Elephas maximus indicus: one gene and its partners. The protein of the gene in region 1 purifies or fractionates together with the protein of each later gene. This does not show direct contact. Links are inferred from orthologs where the notes say so. Each region holds a gene or a part of one and is shown in the gene's direction. Other genes may lie near its edges.

Region 1 (6,832 bases):
TTGGGTGGGGGGGAGGTGTCAATGGAGAGATTCAAGACAGAATTTCTGCTTCAACAAAGCGGATACCAAGTTCTTCTGCTTGTCCCTGAATGCCACCACCACAGGCTTGTCAGGGACTAGGTGTCCATTGTGTCCAGAAATGGTCTTGACTTTCCATGCCATTTGGAAACATTAGTGGAGTTACTCACCATAACAAAGATGGTAAACATCCCTGTCTACCACATGCCCGTCATGGACAATCCCAAGGCGGTGGGTGCCATCACTACTCCTATTTCACAGATGAGAGAACCAAGGGCTGGGGGTTAAGTCACCTGCCTAGATCACATAGTCAATAAAAGATGGACTGATTTAGGATTCAAATTCAGGCAGACTGGAGGCCACTCTCCTACTGCTCTGCTCCAGACTGCATTCTGCATTTCTTCGGCTGTAATGTGAGTTGAACCCTGGGAGCCAGCCGTGGGCAGTGACGGAAAAGAAGAGAGGGCAGCCCCAGCCTTGGCCTCCCCTCAGCTACCTTGAGAAGCCAGTATCAAGAGAAGGGGCTCAAAGACGGCCTTGAAGGGAGGGAAAAGAAGCACAGGGGGTCCCCCCAGGCTAGGGTTATGGGTAGGAGGTGACACAACACACACAGTCCGCATTCTGAACTGATATTCCCAGTAAACGTGGAGGCATATTTATCCCCAACGACACATACCCAGCTCTCAGGGCTCAGAGACAACGTGGTAGGAACCGAGATCCACATCCAGGCCTTGGAATAGGACAGAACTGGATTTAAACCTCAGTTCTGCAAATCATGGGCTCTGTGACCCTTGGCTGTTGCTCCACTCTTCTAATTCTGTTTATTCCCTGTCTTAGTCATCTAGTGCTGCTATAACAGAAATACCACAAGTGGATGGCTTTAACAAACATAAATTTATTTTCTCACAATCTAAGAGGCTAGAAGTCCAAATTCAGGGCATCAGCTCCGGTGGAAGGTTTCTCTCTCTATCGGCTCTGGAGGAAGGTCTTTCTCCTCAATCTTTCCCTTGACTAGGAGCTACTCTGCACAGGAACCCCCAGCCTAAAGGACCTGCTCTGCTCCCGGCCACACCCCAGGGAAACTCCCTTTACATTGGATCAGGAATGTGACCTGGTAAGGGTGTTACAATCCCACCCTAATCCTCTTTAACATAAAATTACAATCATAAAATGGAGGACAACCACAGAATACTGGGAATCATGGCCTAGCCAAGTTAATATACATATTTTAGGGGAAACATAATTCAATCCATGACATTCCCTTATAAAATAAGATGGTATAGTACCTCCCTCACAGGACAGTTGTTATATGGCTATGAATTCTGTCACTTTTCTTCTCTGATCCACCCTTCCCTCTTCAGATCTTTCTTCTTCACCAGCCTAGTAAACCAAAAACCAAACCCACTGCTGTCGAGTTGATTCCGACTCCAGCCTGGTAGCTCCTGTAAATGTGCACCCAGCTACTGGATGAATAAACCAAGGCTTGGCTGCAAAGGATAGCTAAGCAAGTCTGTTACCTGACAAAGTGTCTGGTCCCAACATATGTGAGACGGTCTCTGCCCAAACCAGGACAGGGAGATAGACACAGTCCAGCAACTATGAGGACAGAATTTCTTTTTTCCATATATTAAGTACCTACTATGTGCTTTTTTTTTTTTTTTTATGTGCTAGGTGGTACAGTGATTAAGAACTGGGTTGCTAGCCAAAATCCACCAGCCATTACTTGGAAACCGTGCAGGGCAGTTCTACTCTGTCCTATAAGGGTCGCTATGAATCAGAATCAATTTAATGGCAAAAGGTTTATGTGCCAGGCGGAGGCATGGTAGCACAGTAGTTAAGAGCTCGGCTGCTAACCAAAAAGGTCAGCAGTTCAAATCCACCAGCCGCTCCTTGGAAACCCTATGGGGCAGTTCTACTCTGTCCTGTAGGGTCGCTATGGGTCGGAATTGACTCGACGGCAACAGGTTTGGTTTTTTTGGTTTATGAGTCAGGCACTGTGCTGAGCAGTCTGGCTTAAACTTCACAGCAAGCTATAGGAGAGAAACCATTACTGATTCCATTTTACGGACGAGGAAACATAAACCAGAGAGAGTAAGGCCACACAGCTACTGAGCAGAAGAATCTGGATCTGCCCTCAGGGCTGCCTGACTCCAAAGGCACCTCTTCAGCACCTTCCCATGACAAAACCATTCCCTGGAGCAAGTGCCTCTGCCTGCTGGGAAGTTCCACATTGTAAAATATGGTGAGGGGAGGGGCAGCCAAGAATCCACCTACTGGGAGTGGGATGGCCTCCTGGCTGCACCCTCCTCACAGCAGACCCTGGGCCTCTGGGTCTGAAAGCCCACGGACCACCTCAGCTCAAGGCTTCTATCCCCCACACTCCCAGGGCAACACTAACCTGAAGCAGAGCGTGCTAGGGTTGTGGGTGACAAACCCTGGTCTCTCAGGGGGCGTGGGAAGCAGAGAATGCTCAGGGACAGAGAAAGGGTATGGAAAGCGGGTGTAACAAGCCAGGGGACGGTGGCTGGAACACTCCATCAAAACACGAGGGAGGGTGTGTGTGGGGATGGCAGGATGCCCAGGCTGGCTACAGAAGCACTTTCACACAGAGGAGTGGTGAGTCACCAGCTTCTCCCAATCCAGCACCCTGCAGGAGGTGCTGCTCCTCCCTTTGTCGAATGAACGTTGGGCGTAAATAGAAAAGCTCCTGAGAAAGGCTGGCTGCAAAGAGAAGAGGGCAGCCTTTGGAAGGGAACCACCTTCAGCCAAGGCCTCTTTAATCAAATCCCCTCTAGAAGCAGGCGGATCCGGCAGTTGGGAAATGCGCCTTCTCACCATAATCCTAACTCTTGCGCCCCAGCTCAACCCGAGCCCCTTTGCTGCATCACGGCCTCGATGTGCATACATCCCTAGAACGGGGACCTCACTTACCGTCGGGCCAGCCCTGTCCGTTGGTGGAGAGCTCCACTTGGGGCCGGAACGGCCACCCCGCCCTCCCCACAGACAGGCCTCTCTCTGAGGTCCCCTCCAGCTCTCATATTCTGCAAGTTTGAGAACCCCAATTTGCTCACATGGAGTCTCCACGAGTCGTGATCACCTCGATGCTAACTAACAACAAGTGCCCAGGAGGGAACTGGGAATGAAATGTAGGGCCTCAGGTAGGCGCCGCGCTCAACAAGATGCCACTGCCAGAAGCGACACCTCCCGGGTTTCCCTCCCCACAAACGCGCGACCCGAGGATGAGCTAGGCTAAAGAATATGGACAAGCGGAGGATGGAGAGATTCAAGATAGATCAACAGGCTGACGAGCTGCCAGCGGCATGAACACAACCGTGCAGAGGTAGACAGACAGCGGTCAGACGAACAAAAGGAACCGGAGGCCCCTGGGTGACGGCAAGTCTGGGTGTGGCCCGGGTGAGCAGGAGACACTCACGTTCGCGGCCATCGTGGCACCTGGCTCGTCGCCGCCTCCTCGCTCTGCTCAGCTAGAGCTGACAACCGGAATCCAGTGGCCTCTTGCCGGCCGGGAGCTGCAAATGCCGGCGTGGGGTCCAGGACAAGGCGGGACTTGCTACAGAGTTACCACCCCAGGCGCCCCCATTCTTCTGAGCACGCGCGCCGCAAAGCCTCCTGGAAAATGCAGTCCGTGGAAAGCCCGGAGTCACAGGCTTCCGCCACAAAGTTGCAACATGCGCGGAACCGCACTCGTGCGCATGCGCATCGCAGGACTTTCTGGGAAATGTAGTTTCTGCTGCCTGGAAAGGGGCCATGGGACACGCAGCCTCCTGGGAAATGTAGTTCTCAATTGAGGGGCCGGGCTGAAGCTAGGAGGGCGCGGAAGCAGGCGCGCGGCGGGCAGGCCTGGAGGGGGCGGGCCCGCGCGGGCCTCGGAGCCGCCCGCCCTACCTGAGAGGAGGTCACGGCGTGGATCCGCCACCGCCGCTCGGGCTGCGAAGTCTGAGTGCCCGGCTGCCGCCATGTCCTACTGCCGGCAAGAAGGTAGGGAGGACGAGCAGGCTGCCGTGGAGACCGGCCTACGAGGGCCTGCAGGGGACACGGCACCCGGACAGCCCCCGCAGGCCCGGGCGCCCCGCGACCCCACGGCCGGCCCGGCAACCCGAGGCGCAGTCCTGGGCGCCGTCCTCGGGACCCTAGGGGGCGGTCTGGGCGGCAGAGTCTTCACCCCATTCTGCAGATGAGAAAACCCAGGCTCTGGGAGGAACGGGGCTGGTCCAAGGTCATGGAGAGTCTTGAACCCTGGCCTCAGAGGAACCAGCACGTGCGAGATTCATAAACTAGGCCCGGAGGGTGCACGAGAAATGCTGAGCACGTTTCCTGGCCCGTAATTGGGAATTTATTAGTATTAATTATTACAGTCACTCTCACCACAAACCACGTGTTTCCATACTGCATGCGCCTTGTTCCTGTCCCGAAAAGTTGCCCCTCGGGTCAGATGCTGTGCAGGAGTGGTAGAAGTACCCCTGGCGGGAACACTTGTTAGCCCCTACTAACCCTGGTGGTGTAGTGGTTAAGAGCTAGGCTGGTAACCAGAAGGTCGGCAGGCCGAGTCCACCAGGCGCTCCTTGGAAACCCTATGGGGCAGTTCTCTTCTATTCTGTCTTGTAGGGTCCCTATGAGTCAGAATCGACTCGACAACAGCGGGTTTGGTTTTGGTTACTACGTCAGGCACTGTTCAAGGAGCTGTTACATAGTTTATTTCACTGGCCTTTCAGCGATCTAAGTCAGCTCCTGTTTTTATCCCCATTTTACCGAAGAGTAAATTAAGGCACAGAGGGGTTTAAGTGACTTGGCCTAAATCACATGGCCAGTATGTGGTGGAGGTGGGTATGAGCCCTGGCATCTGAACTGCACTATCCAATCTGGAGCCTGGGTTCCCAGGAGCCTTAGGCCAGGAAGGCTTCCCCTCCCCCGACAAGGTGGGTCACCACTCACGCCTTTCTGTTTCCCTGTTGTTACCACTAGGCCAGAGCTTGGAAGGTTAGATGGTACCAGTGCCTCCTCATATGCTACCACTAACTGATCTGCCATCTAATTCCTCCCGGCCCCACTTTCCAGTGGTGTAAAATGAGAAGTTGAGCTTCATTCATTCTGCAAATAATCATGAAACACCTCTGTGCAGGGCCGGTGGACACTTAAGAATATAAAATTCCAGAGAGTCGGAACTCACCCAGAGATTTTTTGGTCAATAGTCCTGTCCCCTCAGTTTAACTCAGGAAACCTGAAGCCCAGAAAAGGGGCTCACCTGTCCAAGGGCATGCAGCCAGTTAGGGGCAGAGCTCCTCGTAGAATGATAGGCCTTTTCCCCAATACCCCAGCCTGCTTCTGGAACTTTTCCTCCTTCCCTGGATCATAAAGCCATAATACTCACTGATGTCTCTAAAAACCCATTGCCATCGACTCTGACTCACAATGACCTTATAAGACAGAATAGAACTGCTCTCTAGAGTTTCCAAGGCTGTAATCTTTGTGGGAGAAGATTGCCACATTTTTGTCCTGCAGAGTATCTGCTATGTTCAAATCACTGACCTTTCAGTTAGTAGCTGAGCATTTAACCACTGCGCCACCAGGGCTCCTTCTAATGTCTCTAATGAGCACTGTTTCCTGCTGATTAATAATTAAGTCTGCCATAAACGAAAGTCCTCTGCCCTAACCAGTTTATGTTAGACAGTAAGTCCTTTGTCCTATTTTTAACTCCCTTTCTCTTAGTCTCAAGTTTACTTCATTTAACAAATCATTTTTGACCCTCTTGGGTACAGTGAGGCTGTGCAGATAAATAACACCTCTTCTGTTCTTGAGGAGTTTACAGCAGTCACAGGTTCTCTGGGAAGGAGGGGCAGTGTCCCTCTGCCACCAAAGCGTGAAGCCCTGTCTTTTCCTGGTTCAGAGGTCTCTCTCTTCCTTAGTTTGGAGATGAGAATTGAAAGTACTCACTTGCAGGCCTGTTTTAGTTGTTACTACAGGTTAAAGGCCTTAGCTTGGTATTCTAGGTGTTTTGCAGTGTGAACTCAGCCTTGCTTTGTGGCCTTGGGCCACCCGTACTTCTCCGTCAGCTCCACACTGCTCCTTTCTTTGGTTTCTTCTCTTCCTAATACTGAGCCTGCCCTCTCCTGTTAAGTCATCAAATATTGAGCATCTGTATGTGCCAGCCATTGGACATATATTAGTGACAAAGGTGACACAATCTGTGCCTTCCTGGCATCTGGTGGAAGAGAGGGGCATTAAAGCACCAACAGTTGTCATTGTTGTTAGGTGCCCTTGAGTTGATTCTGACTCATAGCGACCCTCTGTACAACAGAACGAAACGCTGCCCCAGTCCTGCGCCATCCTCACGATCCTTGTTATGCTTGAGCCCATTGTTGCAGCCACTGTGTCAGTCCATCTTGTTCAGGGTCTTCTCTTTTTTGCTGACCCTCTACTTTACCAAGCATGATGTCCTTCTCCAGGGACTGATCCCTCCTGATAACATTGTCCAAAGTATATGAGATGTAGTCTCACCATCCGTGCCTCTAAGGAGCATCCTGGTTTTACTTATTCCAAGACAGATTTGTTCATTCTTTTGGCAGTCCAAGGTATATTCAATACTCTTCGGGAACACCACCATTCAAGGGTGTCAGTTCTTCGGTCTTATTCATTGTCCAGCTTTTGTATGCATACGAGGCAGTTGAAAACACCACAGCTTGGGTCAGGCGCACCTGAGCCTTCAATGTGACATCTTTGCTTTTCAACACTTTAAAAACATCTTTTGCAGCTGATTTGCCCAGTGCAGTGCATCTTTGGATTTCTTGACTGCTGC
Region 2 (7,030 bases), on another chromosome or scaffold:
ACCGTCGACTGTCAAATGTGCGGGGAGCCTTCGAGTGTTCTTCCTGCTCCACAACACTGGGCTACACCCCACGGCCGCAGCCGCTAAATACCGTTCCTGTCCCCTGTCCCCTGCTCACGTGACGGCGACCTCCGCCGGGAGGCGCCCACGGCATGCTGGGACTAGTAGTCTCCCGGTCTCTCCCCTCCCTTCTCTTTCCCCCTCTCTTCCCCTCCACACCCTAAACCCCAGCAGCCAGCGGGGCGCTGGAACTAAAGACTTGGTAAATGCGCACAACAGAACCGCAGACATCCCAAGATTCTTATGCTGATTGGTACCTGACCAGAAGCCAGGCATCTCTACAAGACGTCTGACGCCCCTGACCCCTTAAGGATCTGAAATTCATAGGCTGGAAAAACCCACAGAACCATGACAGTGAGAGGCGGTACCAAATGATAACGACAAGCACCAGTCAGACTTGGCTTAGAATCCGGCCTCTGCCATTACTAGGTGTGTCTTTTCAAGTTGCTTAACCTAAGCCTCAGTCTGCTCGTGCATCAAGTGGGGCCAATACTACCTGACTAATACGGTTGCTGTGAGTAAATGAGATGACGTAGAGAGCGATAGCTGCTAAATGATATTAGTGAATGATCAATAAAAAGGAGGTATTATTTTGACCTATTAATTTTATAAATGTGAAAACTGGAGGAAGGGAAGTGATTTGCCCAAGAACATATGATTGGTTAGGGGCAAAGTAAATTAAGTCTAAAATTCAGGTTTTCCAGTTTCTGAACATCAGTGCAAGACAAAACAGAAGATATCTACTCACTTCTCCAAGTAAATAGCCTCCTTTGCCATGACACTTATGACCAACACACTATTTTTGATTTTTGTCTGACTCCTCCCTTAGAGGAAACCCTGGTGGCGTAGTGGTTAAGTGCTAAGGCTGTAACCAAAAGGTCGGCAGTTCAAATCCACCAGGCGCTTCTTGGAAACTCTAGGGGGCAGTTCTACTCTGTCCTATAGGGTCACTATGAGTCGGAATCGACTCGACAGCAGTGGGTTTGTTTTTTTTGTTTTGGTTTCCTCCCTTAGAATATAAACTTCAAGAAGTCAGAAAGGGATTTTTGTTAGTCTTTTGGTCTATTTTGTTTACTGCTGTATCCACAGGACCTAGAAAGGCAGGGACTGGCCAGTACATAGCAGAAGTGCAAATATTCACTGAATAACCCCTATAGTATTTGATTTTTAGTGCCTTCACCTCTCTGATATCTTCTTTTAGCAGAAGTCACAGGATTGGGAACACCCTTAGATTCTATTCATTGACTAATTTCTAACTGAACAAAGAATATGGAGAATATGTATTATATTCCATTCACCTCATTAAGTTTTCTTAATTTCAGCATAACATTTCCAGCAGATGTTTTCACTTATCTTAAGAGTCCTTAAAATGTTTTTCTAACACTTGTGAGAATGGGGGGGGTGGAGCCAGTTACTATATCCTTAAAATTTACTTCCTCTTATTTAATATTTTATTCACCTTTCCTTATTAAAATTAACATTATCCTTTTCTAAGATAGAACCCCAAAGGTATTTCCCTGTACGACCAGAAACGTTGCGAATATTATAGATGTTTACTTGGTAAATAACTGGATTCCTACTTTTTGTTAGGTGCCATCAAGTTGATTTTAGCTCTTAGCGACCCCGTGTGACAGAATTGTTCCATAATGCTTTCTAGGCTGTAATCTTTACAGGAACAGATCCCCAGGTGTTTCTCCTGCTAAGTAGCTGGGCGGGTTCAAAACCGCCAAGCTTTAAGTTAGCCACTAAGTGCTTAACCACTGCACCACCAGGGCTCCTTAGAATTTGTTTACCCTAAACAAAAAACTCATGTACAAAAACAATTTTATCTGTAAAGTTACTAGGTGTGGGAGGCAGTTACAGAAAAGCTGGGATTATGTATCCTTATTACGTAAACAGAGGGAAAATCCTAAGTGAATGTGACTCCACTTTTAAGATTCTCATGATTCATTTATTCTGAAAGCTGTTTTTAAGCATTTAAAAGCATTTTAAGTTACAAATTAATATATGTGATTATTCAATAATATATAAAAGCTCTCATCATTCTCTCTTGTAATATCTCCTCCAAACCTAAGTTTTATAAACCTGTATCCACATTTCTATATAGTCACCTTCCTGGTAAATGTTTCAAAGAGGCTCTTAATGTTTTAATAATCATAATATGAACTTTGTGTATTAATAAAGTTTTATATCTTTTAATAATACCTATTAACAAACATTTACTGTTATGTGTTAATAATGAGTAATATACTAACCATGCTATAGAGAAGGCATTACTTAAATAAAATGTAACCAATGTGGCTGAATAGTACTATACAAATTGTTAAATGGGAACCTAATTTGCAGTGTAAATTTTCACCAAAGATACAATACGTATTTTTTAATTAAAAGAACCATAAATAAAAGCCAATTGTTACCAAGTATTATTACTTTTCTGCATTGTGTCCTGCAAATTTTCCACATGTACCACCTAACCCAGGCTAACAAGGGACAATACCTGTTTCAATTTCCCTTAAAAGATTAAAAAAGGAGGAGGAAAACTCCCTCTCTTTACTTTTCCTCCAGCTTATAATAAACGAAGCTAAAATAAGCTAAGCTCTTAACGGGCTAAGAGACTCTCTAAAGCATGTAATTCCTTGTATCTGTAACCAAATTTAGACTATTAGTGAAAGCATAATACACCTAAAAAAAAAAAGACTTAATTAAATTGAAATTTGGCCCAATTTTGAGCAAATGAGTATAATAAACATTCTAAGGTGATTAAGTAAAATACTTGAAAGAAACCTGTTAGCACCTTCAATTTTTTCATAATTATTCATTGTAATTGGTATCCAAATTACGAATTTTTTTCATCTGCTTACTACAATCAACCATAAAGCCCTCCAAGCAGACAAGAGTGTATATAATACAGCTTTCTTTCAATAATTATTCAGACTTAATCGATTTTCCCTCAGCTTACTAAATTTGGTTAATTTGCTGATTATCCAAATCTCTAAGCGTGGTGGGGAAACAAATGGCTTTTATCGTGTTTTTTTTACTCAGTAAACACAGGAACTCTAAACCAAATGCACTATATCAAGCCACGCCCAGGATCAAAATGAAAATAATGGGTCACAACTTAAAATACAGCACTGCCTTTAATAAAAAGTATTTATTTCTCACTGTGCATAACGCAGTACTACGAACCTGCTGTTGGAATAGAGCTTATATTCGAACGTATGCTATGCACGCATCTCTAAAACGGAGATCCACCGAGTTCGACAGTAGATACGACTTTGTACACTCTTAACGGGTGACTTAAAACTGGGTGACAGCCTTCATAAGAAACTTGAAATTTTAAGTTTCGCCGTGAAAAGAAGACATGTGCCAAAGACGTAAGCGTCACTCTTGCCAGGGACACTTGAAAGGGTATGGCCACGGTAGCGGTCGATCAAAAGACATCCCAGGAAAACTGCGCAACAGCCTGAAGTCGAGGACTGAAACAAGTCTTCACCCTCGTCCCACTGGCTTTTCCCAGACGCTCGGTCCAGGGGGCCATGACAGGCGTCTCCTGCGCGCAGCCAACACCTGCCGGCAGCGCCGGGCTTAGGACAGGCAATTTGCGCAGCCACTTGTCCCTTTTTGTTGCCCCTTCCCCTCCCTCCCTCAAGGCCGAGGACAGCAACGTCCTCCTCCTCCTTCTCCTCCTCTTTGGTGCCTCCAGCCAGGAGGCGGGAGTGACCCACAGCAGCTGACCCAAACCAGGCACTGCCTCTCCCACAGCCCACAGGAGCCACCATGGGCCCAGAGGCGGGTTTGCAGCACTGCAGCGACGACGCAGGTGGCGGCCCCGGCGACTCTCAGCTACCTCCCTGACCACCGCAACCACTGCCCAACACCCCGAGAAGCCATCGCCACCACCGGCAGGAGGATCTAAGCGCCCCAAAGGCACCTTCGCAATCGGCTGAAGATACGTCAACAACTATGGCGGGCGACGGGCGGTGGGTGGAGCCGGTGCGGGAAGGATGGGGGGTGTACGTCACGCCCAGGGCCCCCCTTAGGGAGGGAAGGCGCCGGCTTGCTCCTCAAAATGGCAGCGGCAGTGACGCGTCGGCGTACGGAAGTTCTTTTCCATCGCGCCACGGCCGGCGGGAAGTGAGGTTCTCAGAGGAACCGCCAGAAGTGTACGGCGACTTCGAGCCCCGGGTGCCCAAAGGAAGGCCTCCGCTAGGAAGACGAACCTCGCCAGAAAAGTTCCGGCCTGACTCCGCGAAAGAGGAACTAAAAGAAAGCTCCTACTACCTTCGGTCTCGGCAGCGGAGGCAGCCGCAACCCCAGGAAGCCACGGAAATGAAGGCACGAAGGGCTATCCGCTTACAGCAACAGCTCTCGGAGCAGTCTCTGCCACAGCCGTCTCCGGTTATGACCAGGAGAGGGTTACGGAATTCTTATTCCTCCGAAGGTGAGAACGATGGAGGTAACGTTTTAGCCGCTAGCCGGGGAGCGGGAGAACTCGCTGTGCGCGCTCGCGGCGGCTGTGCGCCTCCGCGGGGCTCGTCCTGGCGAGGAGACTCGTAGCTCCTCGGGCCCGGCTAGATGTGCGCCCCCGCCCAGGGTCCGCCCCAATCCGCGGGCGGAAGGGGAAGCGAGCTGGGGGAGAGGGGCGCTGGCAAGAGGGCGGGAAACGAGGTCACAGGGGACTACTGAGGCAGAACCGAGGAGCTGCTGTCCACCCCTGGGCATCACCTCAGGGGAGTCAGGGTTGCCCCTGTCTGCACGTCTCCACAAGGGGGTGGCGAGTTAGGCGGCAGTCGGGACCCCGAATCATTCCGGTGGTCTCAGTTTTCATTTCCATCCCCTTTGCCCTGAGTATGTTTCTACCAAAGTCACTACTATTTTTTTCTTTAACTCTCAAAGGCCACAAGTCCCCAGCCCAGGATCATGGTTGTAATCAAACTTTACAGTCTTTTTCCATCCTCATCCTGGTGAGGGGGGAGAGGGGAAATTTTGAGAGCGTGGGTGTTGCTAGGGATAACGGAGTTGGTGAATTAACTTGAGACCCCACCCAAATCCATACACCTAGATGAGGTCAGTTATCCTGAACTGAAACTCTCCAATGCCTGATAAACTTGTGCGCAAGTATCCTGGTGTCTGCCAAAATTTGCCACCTTAAGAGGCCCTCCGTCTAGCCTCAGTGGTAGCAAGAGTGTTAATTAGGAAGTTTTCTTCTAAATGGGCCAACAGGATGCTGGCAGTGTGAGTATATTGCCGTCGAGTCAATTCTGACTCATAGCGACCGTATAGGACAGAGTAGAAATGTCCCCATAGAGTTTCCAAGGAGCAGCTGGTGGAATTGAACTGCCTACCTTTTGCTTAGCACCCGAGGTCCTTCTAAATGGGCCAAAAGGATGCTGGCAGTGTGTGTAGTTTAGGTAAGTCACAGGTGAATCAACTCCTTAACCCATCCTCTCCCATCCTGACTGTGGGGATTTAACAGAGTCACAGGTGAAGTTTCATCTTAGCCCTTTGTAAGGCACCCGTGAAACAAATCGCGGCGGTGGGGGGCGGGGGAGTGAGGTTTCAGTCACAATGGGATGACATAGTGTAGACCATTGTTGGCTATGAAGAGGCAGTGATTTTCAGCATAGAGCTGTTATAGGCTATAGACACGTGAAGTGTTTACACATTTGAAGGCTTGTCGATTTTGGAAGGTTCGTGTTAAAGATATGTAAGTTAGTAGAGCCTGTATGTATCTATATATATGGAAACCCTGGTAGCATAATGGTTAAGAGCTATGGGTGCTAACCAAAAGGTCGGCAGTTTGAATTCACCAGGCGCTCCTTGGAAAGCCTACGGGCCATTCTCCTCTGTCCTTGCAGGTCACTAAGAGCCAGAATTGACTCGATGCAATGGGTTCGGTTTTTATATGTGTGTGTATATATATATCTGTTTTAAGATTATAAACTTACTTAAGACAAAGATCCTAACACATGTATTTGAAGGATCATGTTATACTTCAGTCTTTATGCTAATTCTGTATCTCCTTCAGTACCCTGATGGCACAGTGGGTAAGCCTTTGGCTGCTAACTAAAAGGTCAGCAGTTGGAATCCGCAGTTGCTCCTTGAAACCCTATGGGGCAGTTCTCCTGTGTCCCATGGGGTTGCTGTGAGTTGAAATGTCTTGAAGGTACAGTACAGTACTTAGGAGAATGCTTTGTGCATGGTAAACAATAAATACATGTTACAGTGTACTGACTCGTAACCCAAGTGCTTAGGCTAAATTTTTTTTCCCTTTTTTTGACTAGTAAGGAATTTACTTCAGTAAATCTATAAGAATCTAAACATTTTTCACTCTTCCGCTTTCTGCCGTGTAATTTTTGATGATTCTAGCCTATGGTTTTAAATTTTCTGAATATATTTTTGTTATAAAGCGCCAGTGGTGAATAGTTTATTTTTATATTCTGATGAATTCATTTTTTTTTTTAATATTGTGATTTTGGAGAAAGTTTACATAGCAAATTAGGCTCTCATTTAACAATTTCTATACATATTTATTCGGAGCCCTGGCAGCATAGTGGTTAAGAGCTCAGCTGCTAACCAAAAGGCCGGCAGTTCAGATTCACCTTGGAAACCCTACAGAGCAGCTCTGCCCAGTCCTTTAGGGTTGCTATGAGTTGGAATCGACTCGATGGCATCGGGTTTGGTTTTTATACATATTATTCAGCGACATTGGTTATACTTTTCACAATGTATTGGCATTCTTATTATTTCCATTGTGATTGTTCTGTTTCCATTAATCTAGCATCCTTGTCCCCCTTACCTTCTCATCTTTGGTCTAGGGTAAATGTTGACCGTTAGGTCTCATTTAGATTGTTTAGAGGAGCACAGCACTTACGGGTTATATTATTTATCTTATGAGCCACTCTGTCTTTTGGCTGGTAAGTGTTCTCTGGGAGTGGTTTGAAGGGTATCCCAGGGCGATAGTCTCAGG
Region 3 (6,937 bases), on another chromosome or scaffold:
AGCCCACTAGGGCCTCCTTGCTATGAGGACCCTGCCACCCACTTTTACACCCGCCCAAACCCACGGCCTCCTTCCTCGGCTGGGGTACTTTCTTCCTCTGCTCAAACTGTGCTGGCAGGCATTGGAGGGCCCGTACTGCTGCTCCCGCGCGGCGGTGTCCCCCTCCCGCACCTGGCCTGGGGCCACCTCCTCCAGGTAGGGAGAGGGAAACCAGGCCATCTGTTTGTCCTTGTTCTCCACCAGGCACCAGCCTGTGCGCCAGTGCGGCGGGGTTTCAGATCCCGAGGCCCGCTGGGATCAGGGGCAGAGGGCAGCCCAGACTCCTCCCCAGCCCTACCCGAGGGTTGTCGCAGTAGCACATCCAGGGCCTCCCGGGCCTGCACATGGAAGGGTTGGCCCCGTGTGTCCTGGGTGCAGTAGGCAGTGCAGTCTCTGGTCCTCCAGGCTGCGGATGTCAAGCCTGCCCACAGGGTCCGGCAGAGGCTCCTTCCGGGCGGTCGGAATCACCAGGCTGAGGAGGATTGCAGGTGATAGGTGGGAATGGACCCACCATCCCCACCTCTCACAAATCTGCCCAATCTCCCAGTCTTTGCGTGACCCCTCCTACCCATACACCCTGTGCTTCCCCATCCTCCAAATGCCTCTGTGGCTGGGAGTTGGGGTAGGTCAGGCACCTGCCGGGTGGCAGCGTGGGCTACAGGTCCAGGATTTGCGGCGCGAAGAAGCTGTTGAGCGCCAGGCGCCGGGACACGCTTTCTACCGCCATCAGCAGCATCTGGACATAAGCCTCTAGGAGCCGGAGGCAAGCCAGCCCGCGGCCCGTGCGTCCCCCGCGCGCCAACAGCGGCACGTGTGGGAGCAAGACAGGAGTTGAATGTGGGACCCCGTCTCGGGGTCCCTCACCCATGTCCCAACCCCCCCGGCCTGACCAGGAAGCGCGGGGAGAATGAGGTTGGATCTGCGCAGCAGGCCCGCCTCCATCTGGAAGGCCTCTTGAAGGGTCTTCCGCGGCAAAAAGCCGGCGGATAGGTCTCCGAGAGCTCAGGGGTCCTCCGCGACGGTGGGGCCGAGTCGGGACTGTAGGGGTTGGAAGCTGCGGGGCACAGGAGAGCCCGTAGGCGGGGGTCACTCGGGAGTCATGCATTGGAGGCAGTTCGGGGACTCGGGGGTCGCCCCAGGGTCACTCACGTGGAGCTTTCTGAACTCTTCGCGACGCCTGAGCACGAAAGTGTCACCGCCTGTCCTACCAGCGCACGGAGAACTTCTGAGGGAAAAAAAGTTGGGGATCCTCGCAGGGGCGGGGCCAGGGACTACACCTTCCCCTTTGGGGCTGCCAGTGACCCCATGGAGTACCTGGAGTCTCCTGGTCTGCACCAGGGCGTAGACGCGCACACACACCACGTATCGGGGGCCTGCCATGGCTGAGTGGCTGAGGCTCAGTGGTCCCTGCCTCCTCCCTGCCGGCTGGGGGCTCCCAGGAACAGGCAGGGCTGGCCAAAATTCCCTGACAAGGCCCGAAGTTGGCCAGGCTTGTCACTTGGGGAGGTGTTCAGCTGTGGGTCCCTCGCAGGCTCCCCCCACTGCCCCCTAACTCTAAGATATGGGGGGCAGGAGCACAGGGCTGGGAGGCCCAAGGCAGAGGCCCTGGAGGTATGCACGACTTTGTGTCCTGAGGAAGGGGCGGTGGAGGGACTGGAACTGTGGGTGAGGCCCTTCTGTCCCAGTCTGGCAGTGGAAGGAGAGGGAAGGGCTGGCAGTCCCCACATCAAAGTGCTGCCTGGCCCAAGCTTTCTCTCCTCTAGTGCAGGGCTGGGGCCAGGAGGGCTTCCTGTAGGTGGACCCCTAGGCTCTGTCTTTGTACGTGCCTGTGGAGCTGTCTGCAGTTGCATCGGGAATATCCCTACCCAGTGCTAGGGGCTTTAGAGTCCTTTGTCTCTTTTAATGCTAAGAGAACAGTTCTCTTAATGCCCCCAAGCCACAGATGAGGAAATTCATGTTAAACTGATAATTAATGTGAGTTTTTCTGTACATGTGCACATGGGGGGTGGACCCCCACAGGCTCACCCTAAGTTTACCACATGGTAAAGAGACTTGGGCCAGAAGGAAAAGGGGGAGGTGGCAGGCAGCCAGGCTTGTTCAAGGAGCAGCCTCTAAATTCATAGTTTGTCACAATTTACTGCAAAGGAAAATCCCACCCTTAGCCTTTGAGGGCAGAAGTGAGCATTCCCCCACCAGCCTGGGCAGTGGGGCGGGGAGGCTGTGGAAGCCCTGGGCAGAGGCTTGCCTGGGTGCCCACCACTTATAGGGGAAGTGCCCCACCTTCTTATAGAGGAGACTTCCGGAGCCCCATCCAACCCACAGGAAGAGCAGTGATTCTTCCTGGAACTGGGGACCCAGCTTTCTCAGGAGTCTCTGTTCCCTAGACATTTCTCCAGGAATTTGCCCTGGCCTCATCATTTTCTTTTTTCATCAAAAGGCCTTTGTGTGTATGTGTGTCTGTCTGGCCAGAGGACCCCCCCCCCCCGGAGCCCTCACACCTGCCCTGGTCTCCACCCAGGTGATGAGCACCTGCTGACACAGGTCTGAATCAAAGCTTGATTTCAACTCAGCTATCACCCTCCATCCATCCTCAGGAGACCATGCTGAGGGTCCAGAGCCTGCTTCTCTGGAAGAGAGAAGAGAGAAGCCAGGGAAAGGTGAGGGCTCACTCGTAGCCAGCAATCTAGGGGAATGCTATGGCCCCTCCTGATCACAATGCCCAACCCCATCAACCCTGGATCCTCCCCACTCCCTTCCTCTCCACAACCACTACCCACCACAGCTCCTCACTGCCAATGCTGTCCCATAAAACCCTCTCCCCATATGACCTTTGCAAACAGAAAACAGATTATGTCCACTGGTTCTTCCCAGAACCATCCAGCACCTTCCCAACACCCTTAAATTCCCAGTCCCACAGAGGCCAAGGTCCTGTGTGACAGCCCCTGCCCACTCCTGGACCTCCCTTCTGGTCACCATCACCAGCATCCTGCTACCTCGGGCCCTGGGCCTTGACTGCCCTCCTCAGGCATTATTCATCACCCTTCAGGTCTCTACTGAAGGGTCACCTCCTCAGTGGCTTCCTGAATTTACCATGCCCTGTACTGACTCGACAGCACTGGGTTTGGTACATGCCCCTACCCACTGTTTGTAAGTGAATATTTATTTGTGTGCTTCTGTGTTGGTTGTTTCTGTCTTGACCATTGGACTATGAGCTGAGGCCTTCAAGGGTGGAGCCTTGTTCCTGTTCTGTCCAGCACCTGGAACAGTCCTTGGAACAAAGAAGACCGGCACCAATATGTGCAGAATGAATGAATGACCATAAGGAAGCTGAAGTAGGCTTGAGTCCGTTCCTCGGGAGGGTTTAACCCCTTATCCAAGCTGTAGGGTCCGAGGAGGCACTGCCCTCTGGAGCAGATGGGTGCGCGCAGCAGCCGAGACGCGCACTACCTTTTTGGCCGTTAGGGCCCCGCCCCGCGTTGCCAAGCGCCCGTTGCCAGGTGCCGGGGTATTGCGCCGGTGGGCGCACCACCAGTCTCAGGAAAGGCACAGAGCCCGGCTATGGGCACCCGGGACAGTCCGAGTGCAGCGATGGGGTCTTCGCGGGCCTCCACCTGGACTTCGCCTGCGCCTCAGCCCGAGCCCAGCGCGCCGCGCCGCAGCTTCCACACCACACTGGTCTTTTACTGGAGGAAGCGGGAGCGCCGCTCCGCGCAACGGAAGCCGGGCCCGGGACGCGGACGCAGGCCGAGGGTCGCGGGCAGGGTGCTGGCCTCCCGCCCCGCCGCCGCCGCAGGGGCCCGGACCCCCGTCCGGGAGGCGGCCTCCAGCCCCGCCCCCAGCCCCAGCCCCAGCCCCAGCCCCAGCCCAAACCCAGCCGCCACGCCCGCAGCGCGCGTCCCAGGCTCATGCGGCGGCGCGCTGACCTGGAGGCCAACCTGGAGGCCGCTCTGGAGGCCGAGCTGGCCCGGCAGCCCTTGCGCGAGCAAGATGGCGGCGCCCGGTGAGCGGGGGCGGTTCGGCTGCGGGGGACTTTTCTCTTTCCTGCCCGGCGGCGCGCGCTCCGAGGTGGTGGACGACCTGGCGACCGACGCGCGGGGCCGGGGCCGGGGCGCGGGGCGCAGAGATGCCGCCGCCCCCGCCCCGACGCCAGCTCTAGCGCAGATCCCCGAGCCGCAGGAGGACGCCTCCCGGAGGCGGCCCTGCCGGGCCTGCGTGGATTTCAAGACTTGGATGCGGACGCAGCGAAAGGTGCACGTGCCCAGGGGCGCCACCTCCCGGCCGAGGCCTGTGAGCCCCGTCCGACCCTCCAGCCCCCACCCGCACACCCCCCTCGTCCCCTGCCTCCTGAGCCCCCTCACCTTATTCTCAGGTGCCCCTGGGAGACGCCCCAATAGGCCGAGGCCGAGCGGTCCGATAGGCCTCATTCCTGACTTTTGCCTATCCGCTATGCCTAACTTTGACCCCCTCAAGGTAGGCCTGGCCTTGTCTGTCTCAGCCTCTCATGGGCTGAATCGGCTGCTGAACTGCTGTCTGGAGAGAGTGGGCCTCCGAGTGGGGCAGGAAAAGGTGAGGTTTGCGCTCTTTTGATTGAGGAGATTGAACTGACCCTTGGTCTACTTTTTTCTGCAGCAGGAGAGCAAGTTTAGGGAGGATTGCCCTCAAGATCGGGAGGAACTGGGCCGCCACAGCTGGGCTGTCCTCCACACCCTGGCTGCCTACTACCCCGACCTGCCCACTCCGGAACAGCAGCAAGACATGGCCCAGTTCATACACTTATTTTCCAAGTTTTACCCGTGCGAGGAGTGTGCCGAAGACATAAGGAAGAGGTGAGTTGTGTGTGCACAGGTGAGAGCATTGAACCGAGAGGCCTGAGTTGGAGGTGATGTCATAGGGGAGAACCTAGAAATACGTGGAGGAGCAGCAGAGGGTGGCGAAGGAGCTGGGAGCTCAGCAGAGTGGGGATTAGGTTCTTGGGCCATCTCTTTTCCCCCTCAGAGGCCAAACTGCCTGGGTCTGCTGGAAGATACTTCCTGTTGTACCACAAGGCTCTCAGGAGAGCCTTCTCAATGCAGTCTCTCACTTAACCACAATGACGACTGCACTCTGCCTGACTTCTGGAGCAGGGCTGCTGGCTTTCAGACCTTGGGAACCCACTGCTTTTGCTCCTAGGCTTTGGTGTGTGGCCCACCCAGGTGTCCTCTCCCACACCTCTGGCAGGGCCTTCTCAGAGCTTCCACGTGTGGGGTGGGACAGCCCTGGCTGTCTGAAGCCTGCGCAACAGAGCAAAGTCTCTTGCTGAGGTGAGGCAGCAGGGCCTCGGGTGCCAAGAACTGCCTGGTTTTCAATTATACCTGCTGTGTCTGGCTCATGAGGCCAGGGAGGCTGGGGTGAGGCTTCCAGGTTCTTAGGAGATTGTAATGTTGCCTGCTATGCTCTTTAATGTCTTGCCTGGGGCTTGCATTAGGTTTGCTAAGGGCCATGGGTGGGGTTTTTGGTAGCGGTGTTTTTTCTAGTTTTATTGTGGTTAAATAGGTATAACATGAAATTTGTCGTTTTAATTATTTTGTAAGTGTACAATTTGCCATGTTCTATGACCATCACAGCTGTCCATTTCCAAGTTTTCATCCCCCAAACGAAAGTCTGCACCCTTTCAGCAGTGATTTCCTATTTTCCTCCGTCCAGCATCTAACCCAAAAAACCAAACCTATCGCTGTCCAGTCAATTCTGACTCATATCAACCCTATAGGACAGTAGAACTGACCTATAGGGTTTCCACGGAGTGTTTGCTGGACCCAAACTGCTGACGTTTTAGATAGCAGATGTAGCTCTTAACCACTACGCCACCAGTAACTTTTAATCTGCTTTCTGTTTCTGAATGCGTTTGTTCTAGATGGTTCGTATAAGTGGTATCATACACTATTGGACCCTGGGCAAGTTTTTGAGCAGACTGGGAGCCCACCAAGGCCCAGGGCTCTGCAGGGTCAGCCTTCTCCTGGGAATTTGCTGTCCCTTCCTTAGGGGTTTCTTCTTGGTGTAGTTCTCAGCAGCCTTCTTCCCTCAGGAGCAGACTAGGTGCTGGCTGGGGGCAGGGGTAGGGCCAGCTGCCCCCTCCATCATCTCTGTGCTCTGCTCTTAGGATATGCCAGAACCAGCCGGACACGCGCACTCGGGCACACTTCACCCAGTGGCTGTGCCACCTGCACAACGAGGTGAACCACAAGCTGGGCAAGCCAGACTTCGACTGCTCACAGGTGGATGAGCGCTGGCGCGATGGCTGGAAGGACGGCTCCTGTGACTAGTGGGCGGGTGTAGGAGCCAGCTGGCCACTGCAGTGGGTGGAGCGTTCATTAAAGTGCATCAGAGCCAGAGCCTGTCCCATCTCAGTTGGGTGGCCCCGGGACGCTACCCACGGGGCCTGCCCTCTCAGGTCGGGAGGTGCCCGCGGCAGACACCCCCATGGCCTTCCCTCAGCTGAGGGCCCGCAGGGGTGGGAGCTGCAGGTGAGTGAGGCAGGAGTGGCCTGGGCTGCCCCTGTGCCAGATGGGATGTGGCCTTCTGCCCAGAAATGGAAGGGGCAGCCAGGAGACAGGCCTGGCTGGGCTTCCACGCGTCCACCCCACAAGGCCAGCCTGCTGCCTCGTAACCGTGTAGCCAGTGACTCTACAATGTTCTGGCCAAAGCATTTATGTCCTGTGTGCTTCAGGGAGGTGGCCTGGGATAGCTCTCCACCCTGCTCAGCTTCCTGCAGGGAGAGCTCAGCAGGATATTTCTGGAGACCTACACACAGCATTGTCCGTGGCTGGCCAGGATTGCCAGCAGGGGCCGGCTGCCTCTGAGGTTGAGACCAAAATAAAATGTTGTGGAACTGACTGAGGACCGGGCTGCCTGTGTTGTTTGC
Region 4 (6,961 bases), on another chromosome or scaffold:
TCGGCATCCACAGGGTCAGGAACCCAGTCCTCAGGTTCACCAGAGTCATCCTCACTGTCCTGGCCAGTCTCCAGGCTCGCAGGGTCAGTCTTGGACAGCTCGACAGCCAAGTCCCCAGTCCCATCAGAGTCCCCAGTCAGACCGGCCACAATCTGCCGCACTGTGTCCTCCCGTGTCCTGCCAGGAAACAAGCAATCTACACCATCACCACAAATGCACAAGGCATTTGAGTGGGGCTGTTCTGGCTGGCATCTGGCCCCGGGGTGACTGAACCACAGGCCAGTCTGCACATCACTGATGGCCAGGGGCATACAAGGGCCTGGCGAACTTGTTCTGCAAGTCATTTGGAGCAGCAGGACTGAGACGCATGGAGGACAGGCTCTGGCTGGCGGGCCAGCTCACCTCAGGTAGCGGCGGACGGGCTCACAGGCCACCTCCAAGATGACCATGGAAGAATCCAGCACACGCAGTGCCTTGATAGCAGAGATGTACAGCGTGATGATGTCACATGTGTTCACGCCTGCAGCCAGAGGGATCAAATGGTTACAGGGGCTGTGGGACAGTGGGGTCAGGCCAAACTGCCCGCCCTTCCCTGCCACTGGCCACACCCTGGACAGCAACCCCCATGTGTTCACATGGTACAGCCCGGTCAGATGGTCTTTAGCACACCACCTTGAACTTGTGCACAGAAGAGCCTGGCAACCTGATCAGGGAACCCCCTCCTTCGAACCCCCAGCTGCCTTCTTCAAAGCTTTATAAGGATGACTGTTTCCCCATTAAGCAGTCTCTCCTGAGGGCATCACCCCAAACCAAACTCAATTTCAAAAAATGGGGCGGGGGCCACCCTGCCCCCTAAAGGACTTCAGAAAACAGCTTCGTTAGTCCCCGAAGGCCCGGGGGCGCCCGTGGCTGGGATGTGCCATCTGTGGCGAGACAGTGCAGCACCTGGGTGCAGGAGCCGGGTCTCCAGTGCCGCCTTGAGCGACTCGAGCAGCTGCTGCCTCTGGTTGGTCCTCTCCAGGCAGTACTTGAGGTCCTCAATGGCTGGCCGTGAGTCTGGGAAGTCTGTGGGGAGAGGCCCCTTCACACACAGGATACGCAGACACCGAGCATGGCTGAGCAGCCTCCCTGGGACTCTGCAGCGACGCTCACACGTGTGTGCCCATGCCACAACCCCGACCGGCCCCAGGAAGACAAGGAGACCCGGGACGGATGGACATGGGCCTGGAGGACGGGCAGTGAAGGCCAGGAGGGCAGGCAGACCTCGGATGATGCTGAAAAGCTCCTGGATGCGCATGCCGGCATAGACGCGGTAGAAGAACCTCTGCACATGGCAGCGCCAGCGGCGCAGCGTGTGGCCAGCCTCCGGGGATGCGGGCCTGGCAGGGCCATCCTGAAGGAACGCCTTGCCAAGCCAGCCGACCACCCTCTCGATCCACTGTGGGGCAGGCACGGCTGTGAGGTGGAGGCTGGCAGCGCACGGGCGCCCCAGGCCCTGACTCCAGCCCCCTCTATGCACGTCAGCCCCCCTGTTCATCTCCACTGACACTGATGTCACACGTGAGTGAGACAGTTGCACACACACTCACACGCTGCATGCACCGCGTGGGTACACCCCTCCAGGACACAGATGTTACCAGTGCCCTGCCCTTCACAAACAAAGCAGTGCGGGACAAAGTCACTCCTGTGTGTGTGTGTACGTGTGATCCTGCTGAGAGGCGTCCCAGACGTGGGTGGGGTTAACACCACAGAGACAGCCCAAGCTGCCCTGGGCTGCTGCGCCTTGAGTCCCCGGCTCACTCCAGTATCTGGGAATCTGCACTTCGTCCCAGCTGGGCTGCCAGGGCTCATGACCACTCTTGCCCACTGCTTGGAGGACCCCTATTGTACCTCCTTCAACCATGCTAACCGTCATTTTTGGAGAGCGACCCTCAGAAATGGCGGAGTGAGAACAGGTGAAAAGCAGGGAGCCACGACGGTTGGTCCCAGCTCTCCGCCAGCTCTGGGAGAGCCCCAAGCCTGTCTGTGGATGGCACAGTACCATGAGGCCCACCCTGGGATACGACCCCACCTTGCCAGGCTGTCTCCCCAGTCTCCCCCATTGCCCTGGCTGCTCTTCTCTTCCTGCCCCTCCTCCTCTGCCCCATGGGGGTGCGCAGGCCATGCTGGGATGCAGGCTGGCTGCAAGGGGTCAGTCCCCGGGGGGCGCAGCTAAAAGGAGATCAGTCTGTCCCTCTCAGGTGGGCCTGGCCACACCGCTGCTTGGCCCTGGCACTGCCTCGAACCGTGTGATTCCGCTAAGACTTCACCCAGCACGTCGTGGATGCAACATGATCAGTGCAGCCCCCGGAATGGCCTCAACTACCTTCGAGGTCCCAGCCCACTCCGTCTCTGCACTTTGGCACACTTCCAAAGGGGACGGAGCAAAGGCGGCGATACCTTGTGGAACTCCCGTAGGAAGGAGCGTTCGTACTCGCCCCGGCAGCGGTCCTCCATCCTCTCCCGGGTCACCTGGTGCAGCGTGGTGGTCACAGCCTCGGCACTGACCCGTTCCAGCAAACTGAGTCTGTGTCTGAGAACAGACGAGTGTGTGCAGTGTCAGCTGTGCCAGGGCTCTGTGGAAAAGCTGCTGGGAGAACAGAGCACTGGCGAGGTGCCATTTGGCCTGCCCAGCTGGACTGCCCAGACTGGGGTGATGGCCATTCCCGTAGGAAGTGGCGGCAGGGGAGCTACCAGAGGCCCAAGCCCCATCTCCCTGGCCTGGCTCGGAAACAGCAACTGAATCACTGCTACCCGGGCCACGTAAACATAGATACCACCGTCTGCACCTTTCAGCACGAACGCTGGTCTAGAAAAATAAAGCTACTCACGAGGAAACAAGAAAGAGCGTTCCATACAACCTTCAACTGGGATGAGCCTAGCAGAAGCCCTTCAGGGCCTCTAGGGCCCTTGGCAGCAGCGGGACCACTCCCTTGATCCAAATCTAACTAAGAGACCCCTTCCAAACAACGGCATCGCAACCACTTTGCTCAACATGACAGAAATCATAACCGCGCTGGAGGGAGCAGACAGCAGAGCCTGGCTGCAGCCAACAAGAACTCCTTCCCAGAGAATGGGGACACAAATCTGCCTGCCTGACACGCTCAGCACAGAAGAAATGGTGAGCCCCCTGTTTGTTACCCACTGGCACAGCAACCACAATCACAGGCTACGTACACTCCCGTTAGCCTACAGGCAGTACAGCAGAATTCTGGGGAGCCAGTAAGTTTGGAATGGGGACAGAAATCTGCTGCACGCACAAGTCACATAGGGTCTCAGTGTGGGCAAAGTGTCAACTCCTGGGCTGTGCACAAAAACTAAAGAGATACAACTGGTCCAAGACCAAAGGCTCAAAACTCACCATCCAAGGGTGCCAGGGCCCCCTCCCTCTGGGATGCCCCTGGCCAGCTGACCAGCTCTCTGCAGCCAGACCCAGAGGAACAATTGGGAAATCAGGAGGCCCAGGGGCGTGGCCACACGCATAGTACTCACAGGACCTGGCTGAGCTGGTGGAACTGCTCCAGGGCCTGGCGACACCAACACTGCTGCTTGTCACTGCCACACCCAGCACAGAGTGGGCTCTGCAGGAGCCGGTAGTAACGGCGGCGAGCATATCGGCTATCCAACTCCCCCTCCAGTTCTGGGTCGGTGCCTCCTTCCCCCTTCCTCTTACTCTGCATATAGACTCTCAAGAAGCGCCCGTAGAGACGTTGGATCATCTCCTGGAAAGTTCTGGGAGTGGAAAAAAACAGAACACCCCGCAACATGGTGTGGACCTTCTCCCGCAGCCCCTGTGCGCCAGTGCCCATCAGCAATCCCAGGCGAGACCATTTCTCCAGGAGCTCTAAGCTACGCAGGTAGGGATCCAGGCGATTCTCCAACAGGCCAAAAGCGTCAAGGAGCAGCAGAAGGCACTGGGGCTCGTCCGCGGAGTTCTCGCGCTGGGAGATGGCATTCCAGAACTCGGGGGAGATGTTAGCCTGCAGGTCGTTCTGCAGCACCTCCACGAACCACTCCTCCAGGACTGAGTGCAGGCCGTGGCCCCGCAGAACCTCCACAGCCGCCCGGAGCTCCTCCTCCTTTGGCTGGACCGCACCGCTGGTCCGAGAGGACGCCTACAGTGCAGACAACCGTGAGGAGAGGGGAACGCAGAGCTGCGAGTGGACGTGGCGGGGGAGGGGAGCGGCAGGCGGGAAAGGCGGGCAGTGCAGCGGAGGGGAGGCTGCGCGAGCCCCGCCGCTCCTCGGCCGCAGCGCGCCGATGTGGCGCCGACGCTGGGAAGGGCTGGCAAGGGAGCCGAAAGATGCGGGACTGTGGAGGAGGGCGGGAGGGCAGAGACGGGCGATGGACAGAGGCGGAGGCCCTAAAGCTTCGCGGGGACCGCGCGCGAGCCCGCCGTTCTCTTCCGGGCCTCACCAGCCCCAGCGCAGCCGGCGGCACCAGCCCGGTGCTCACGGTGTTCCAGGCCACCAACAGCTCCTGTCCGGGCGCGGGGTCGCAGTCCCCCTTCGCCCCCGCCGCCTCTGCAGCCATCTGGGCCCACCGGCTCCCGGGTCCGCCCGGATCAGCGCGGCTCCTTGACGCACGGGCCGGGCGCGGCGCAGGGCGATGACGCAAAAGAGGCGCGCGGCGATGACGTTGCAGGTCGGCGCGCTCTCGGTGCGCACTGCGCAGGCGCAGGCGAGTGCTCGGCGGCGGCGGTTGGAGTGACCGGGATCCCCGCGGCGGCGGCGGAGGGGCGAGTGTCCGGGACGATGACTCAGCAGGGAGCGGCGCTGCAGAACTACAACAACGAGCTGGTCAAGTGTGAGCACGTCCCGCGCCGTGTAGCCCGGGCGGTCGTAGCCCGCGGAGGGGCCTGGGCCAGCGTTGGCACAGCCGCCCGGGCGCAGCGGGGCGCTGGAGGCGGCGGCCCAGCGGCGGGGCCCCAGGCAGTAGGCGCGCGGCCGCCAAGCAGTTGCGTGGCCGTGGGCAAGTGTCGCGCCGAGTCCGTGCGTGGCCTCCTGGCCCCAGGGTGGGCCTAGCGGTACATTAGGACCCGCCCAGCTCGGTCACTGTGCGTGGAAGGCGCGTGGGAGAGCGCCTGGTGCGCACCGAGTGCGCACTGAGTGCCGCGTGTTTGTAGTGAGCACTACCTCCCAGGCACAGCGCTGTCGCCCACGTCCACCGCCTTATTGTATCCAGAGGCCCCCGAGAGGCAGGACTCTGGCCCTCCTTGGAGGGAAGGCGGCCTAGCCAGGACCTTGCTCTCCTTCCTGCCGCCCCAGGCATCGAGGAGTTGTCCCAGAAGCGCGAGGAGCTGTGCCGCCAGATCCAGCAGGAAGAGGACGAGAAGCAGCGGCTGCAGAACGAGGTGAGGCAGCTGACGGAGAAGCTGGCCCGGGTCAATGAGAACCTGGCTCGAAAGATCGCCTCTCGAAACGAGTTTGACCGGACCATCGCGGAGACGGAAGCTGCCTACCTCAAGGTGGGACTCGAGGCAGCTGGGGCCACAGGCCAGGCCGATCCCTTGTGTGGGCAAGCGTTGAGTGCCTAGGGGGTTCAGGACTGGGGGCTTTCCTGAGTAGAGGCTTCCCTTCCCCTCCCCGGACCCTGGCTCAGCACAGGGGCATTCAGTTGTGGGAGCAAGGGGTCCCAGCGAGCAGTCTGCATCTTCCCCACATCTCGGCTGGGCCCACTGAGGAAAGGAGAATGCTGTCTGTGGAACATGGTGTGTCCCAGCCCATGTTCTCCTACCACGGTTGTTCCTGAGGTTCACTCTGCTCGGTGTGTGATGGACGGGGGGCCGGCAGAGAACAAAGCACTGGCCAGACCTGGGGAGGGAAGAGGCCCCTGCAGGCCCTGCCTGTCCCCGGGTACCCCCCAGGCGGGAGCATCAATGACCAGCCTGTGTTTTCTTTGGTCTCAGATCCTGGAGAGCTCCCAGACTCTGCTTAGTGTCCTGAAGAGAGAAGCTGGGAACCTGACCAAGGCCACGGCTTCGGAGCAGAAGGCCAGTGGGGGCAAGGACAGTTGACGAGGCCATGGGTGGGCCAGGCTACTTGGCCCCCAGGAAACCTGTTAATAAAGCGTCTTTGTTCTGTATGGCAGCAGCCACCTTCTTTTCCTGTCTTTGGTATCAAGGCAGCTGCAGCCTTTGTTAGCTCTGGATGAGAAAAGTAGCCTACCAGGCAGGGATCTGGCTCCGTGGTGCTCCCAGCAGGCAGCAATTGGGGAGGGCACTCCAAAACCTCCACGCCTCCCTGTGCTGCTGGTTCTAGTCTCAACCCCCAGGACTTCTGCCTCCCTTGTCCCTCCTTGGCCAGCAGGGGCCCAGGCAAGTGAGGTAGTGGTTGGGCCCTCTTCTGCCTCAGAACTGAGACCTCAGAGCTTGTTCCTAGTGCCCCGTGACTGTGTGAATAAAGGCTTTCTTTGTAAAGAATCGTGCTGGCTTGTGCCTGTGTCGAGTACATGGGGCTGCTTGCCACCCCCAGAGCTAGCCCACAAAGGTTCTGGCTGGGTATGGTGGCTCCTCCATGGGGCGGGGCAGGGAAAGGGGACTTGGAGTGGTTTTCCCTGTGACTGAGAGCCCCAGTCTCAGATGCAGAGGGTGCCACTGGGCATCTCCCATGACCCTCCTCCGCCTACCTGCAGATGTCAGCCCCAGACCTTTGCTTCACCTACGGCCACTTGCTCTATCCCTGTCTCACCCGACCCCCACTTACTTTCCCCCAAATCCAGGACACAGCCCATCCTTCTCTGAGGGCCTTCATCTGCTGGTCGTGCTCTCTGCCACACCATAGCCGGGCCCAAGGACAGTTGGAAATGGCTGAGTGTGCACGCCAGCCCCCTTCTGGACGCTGGTTCCTCTGAACACAGGCCTTATAGCTTCACACCCTTTCTGTCCACTTCTCTTCTTCCCTGCGCTGCTGGGCCCCATCCT

The links.
Region 2: the proteins of CHCHD4 (region 1) and TOR1AIP1 purify together in Homo sapiens (co-immunoprecipitation; 3 studies listed by BioGRID and IntAct, with this or other methods). This does not show direct contact. The link is inferred for Elephas maximus indicus from reciprocal best matches to the Homo sapiens genes CHCHD4 and TOR1AIP1.
Region 3: the proteins of CHCHD4 (region 1) and GFER purify together in Homo sapiens (co-immunoprecipitation; 3 studies listed by BioGRID and IntAct, with this or other methods). This does not show direct contact. The link is inferred for Elephas maximus indicus from reciprocal best matches to the Homo sapiens genes CHCHD4 and GFER.
Region 4: the proteins of CHCHD4 (region 1) and SSNA1 purify together in Homo sapiens (co-immunoprecipitation; 3 studies listed by BioGRID and IntAct, with this or other methods). This does not show direct contact. The link is inferred for Elephas maximus indicus from reciprocal best matches to the Homo sapiens genes CHCHD4 and SSNA1.

The regions. Positions count from the first base shown.
Region 1 is NC_064838.1:39,929,503-39,936,334, forward strand, and holds the start of CHCHD4 (mitochondrial intermembrane space import and assembly protein 40), read left to right. Parts: upstream 1-3,815; 5' UTR 3,816-3,995; coding exon 3,996-4,017; intron 4,018-6,832. Other genes in the region: TMEM43 (transmembrane protein 43), read right to left, coding at 3,452-3,463.
Region 2 is NC_064842.1:42,820,143-42,827,172, forward strand, and holds the start of TOR1AIP1 (torsin-1A-interacting protein 1), read left to right. Parts: upstream 1-4,022; 5' UTR 4,023-4,023; coding exon 4,024-4,501; intron 4,502-7,030. UniProt on the Homo sapiens protein: Required for nuclear membrane integrity. Induces TOR1A and TOR1B ATPase activity and is required for their location on the nuclear membrane. Binds to A- and B-type lamins. Possible role in membrane attachment and assembly of the nuclear lamina.
Region 3 is NC_064830.1:59,085,848-59,092,784, forward strand, and holds the start of GFER (FAD-linked sulfhydryl oxidase ALR), read left to right. Parts: upstream 1-3,925; 5' UTR 3,926-4,026; coding exon 4,027-4,287; intron 4,288-4,668; coding exon 4,669-4,865; intron 4,866-6,175; coding exon 6,176-6,338; 3' UTR 6,339-6,937.
Region 4 is NC_064827.1:1,041,148-1,048,108, reverse strand, and holds SSNA1 (microtubule nucleation factor SSNA1), read left to right. Parts: upstream 1-4,761; 5' UTR 4,762-4,793; coding exon 4,794-4,845; intron 4,846-5,306; coding exon 5,307-5,506; intron 5,507-5,947; coding exon 5,948-6,055; 3' UTR 6,056-6,460; downstream 6,461-6,961. Other genes in the region: anaphase-promoting complex subunit 2, read right to left, coding at 1-177, 403-520, 946-1,065, 1,264-1,438, 2,440-2,572, 3,532-4,154, 4,456-4,572. UniProt on the Homo sapiens protein: Microtubule-binding protein which stabilizes dynamic microtubules by slowing growth and shrinkage at both plus and minus ends and serves as a sensor of microtubule damage, protecting microtubules from the microtubule-severing enzyme SPAST.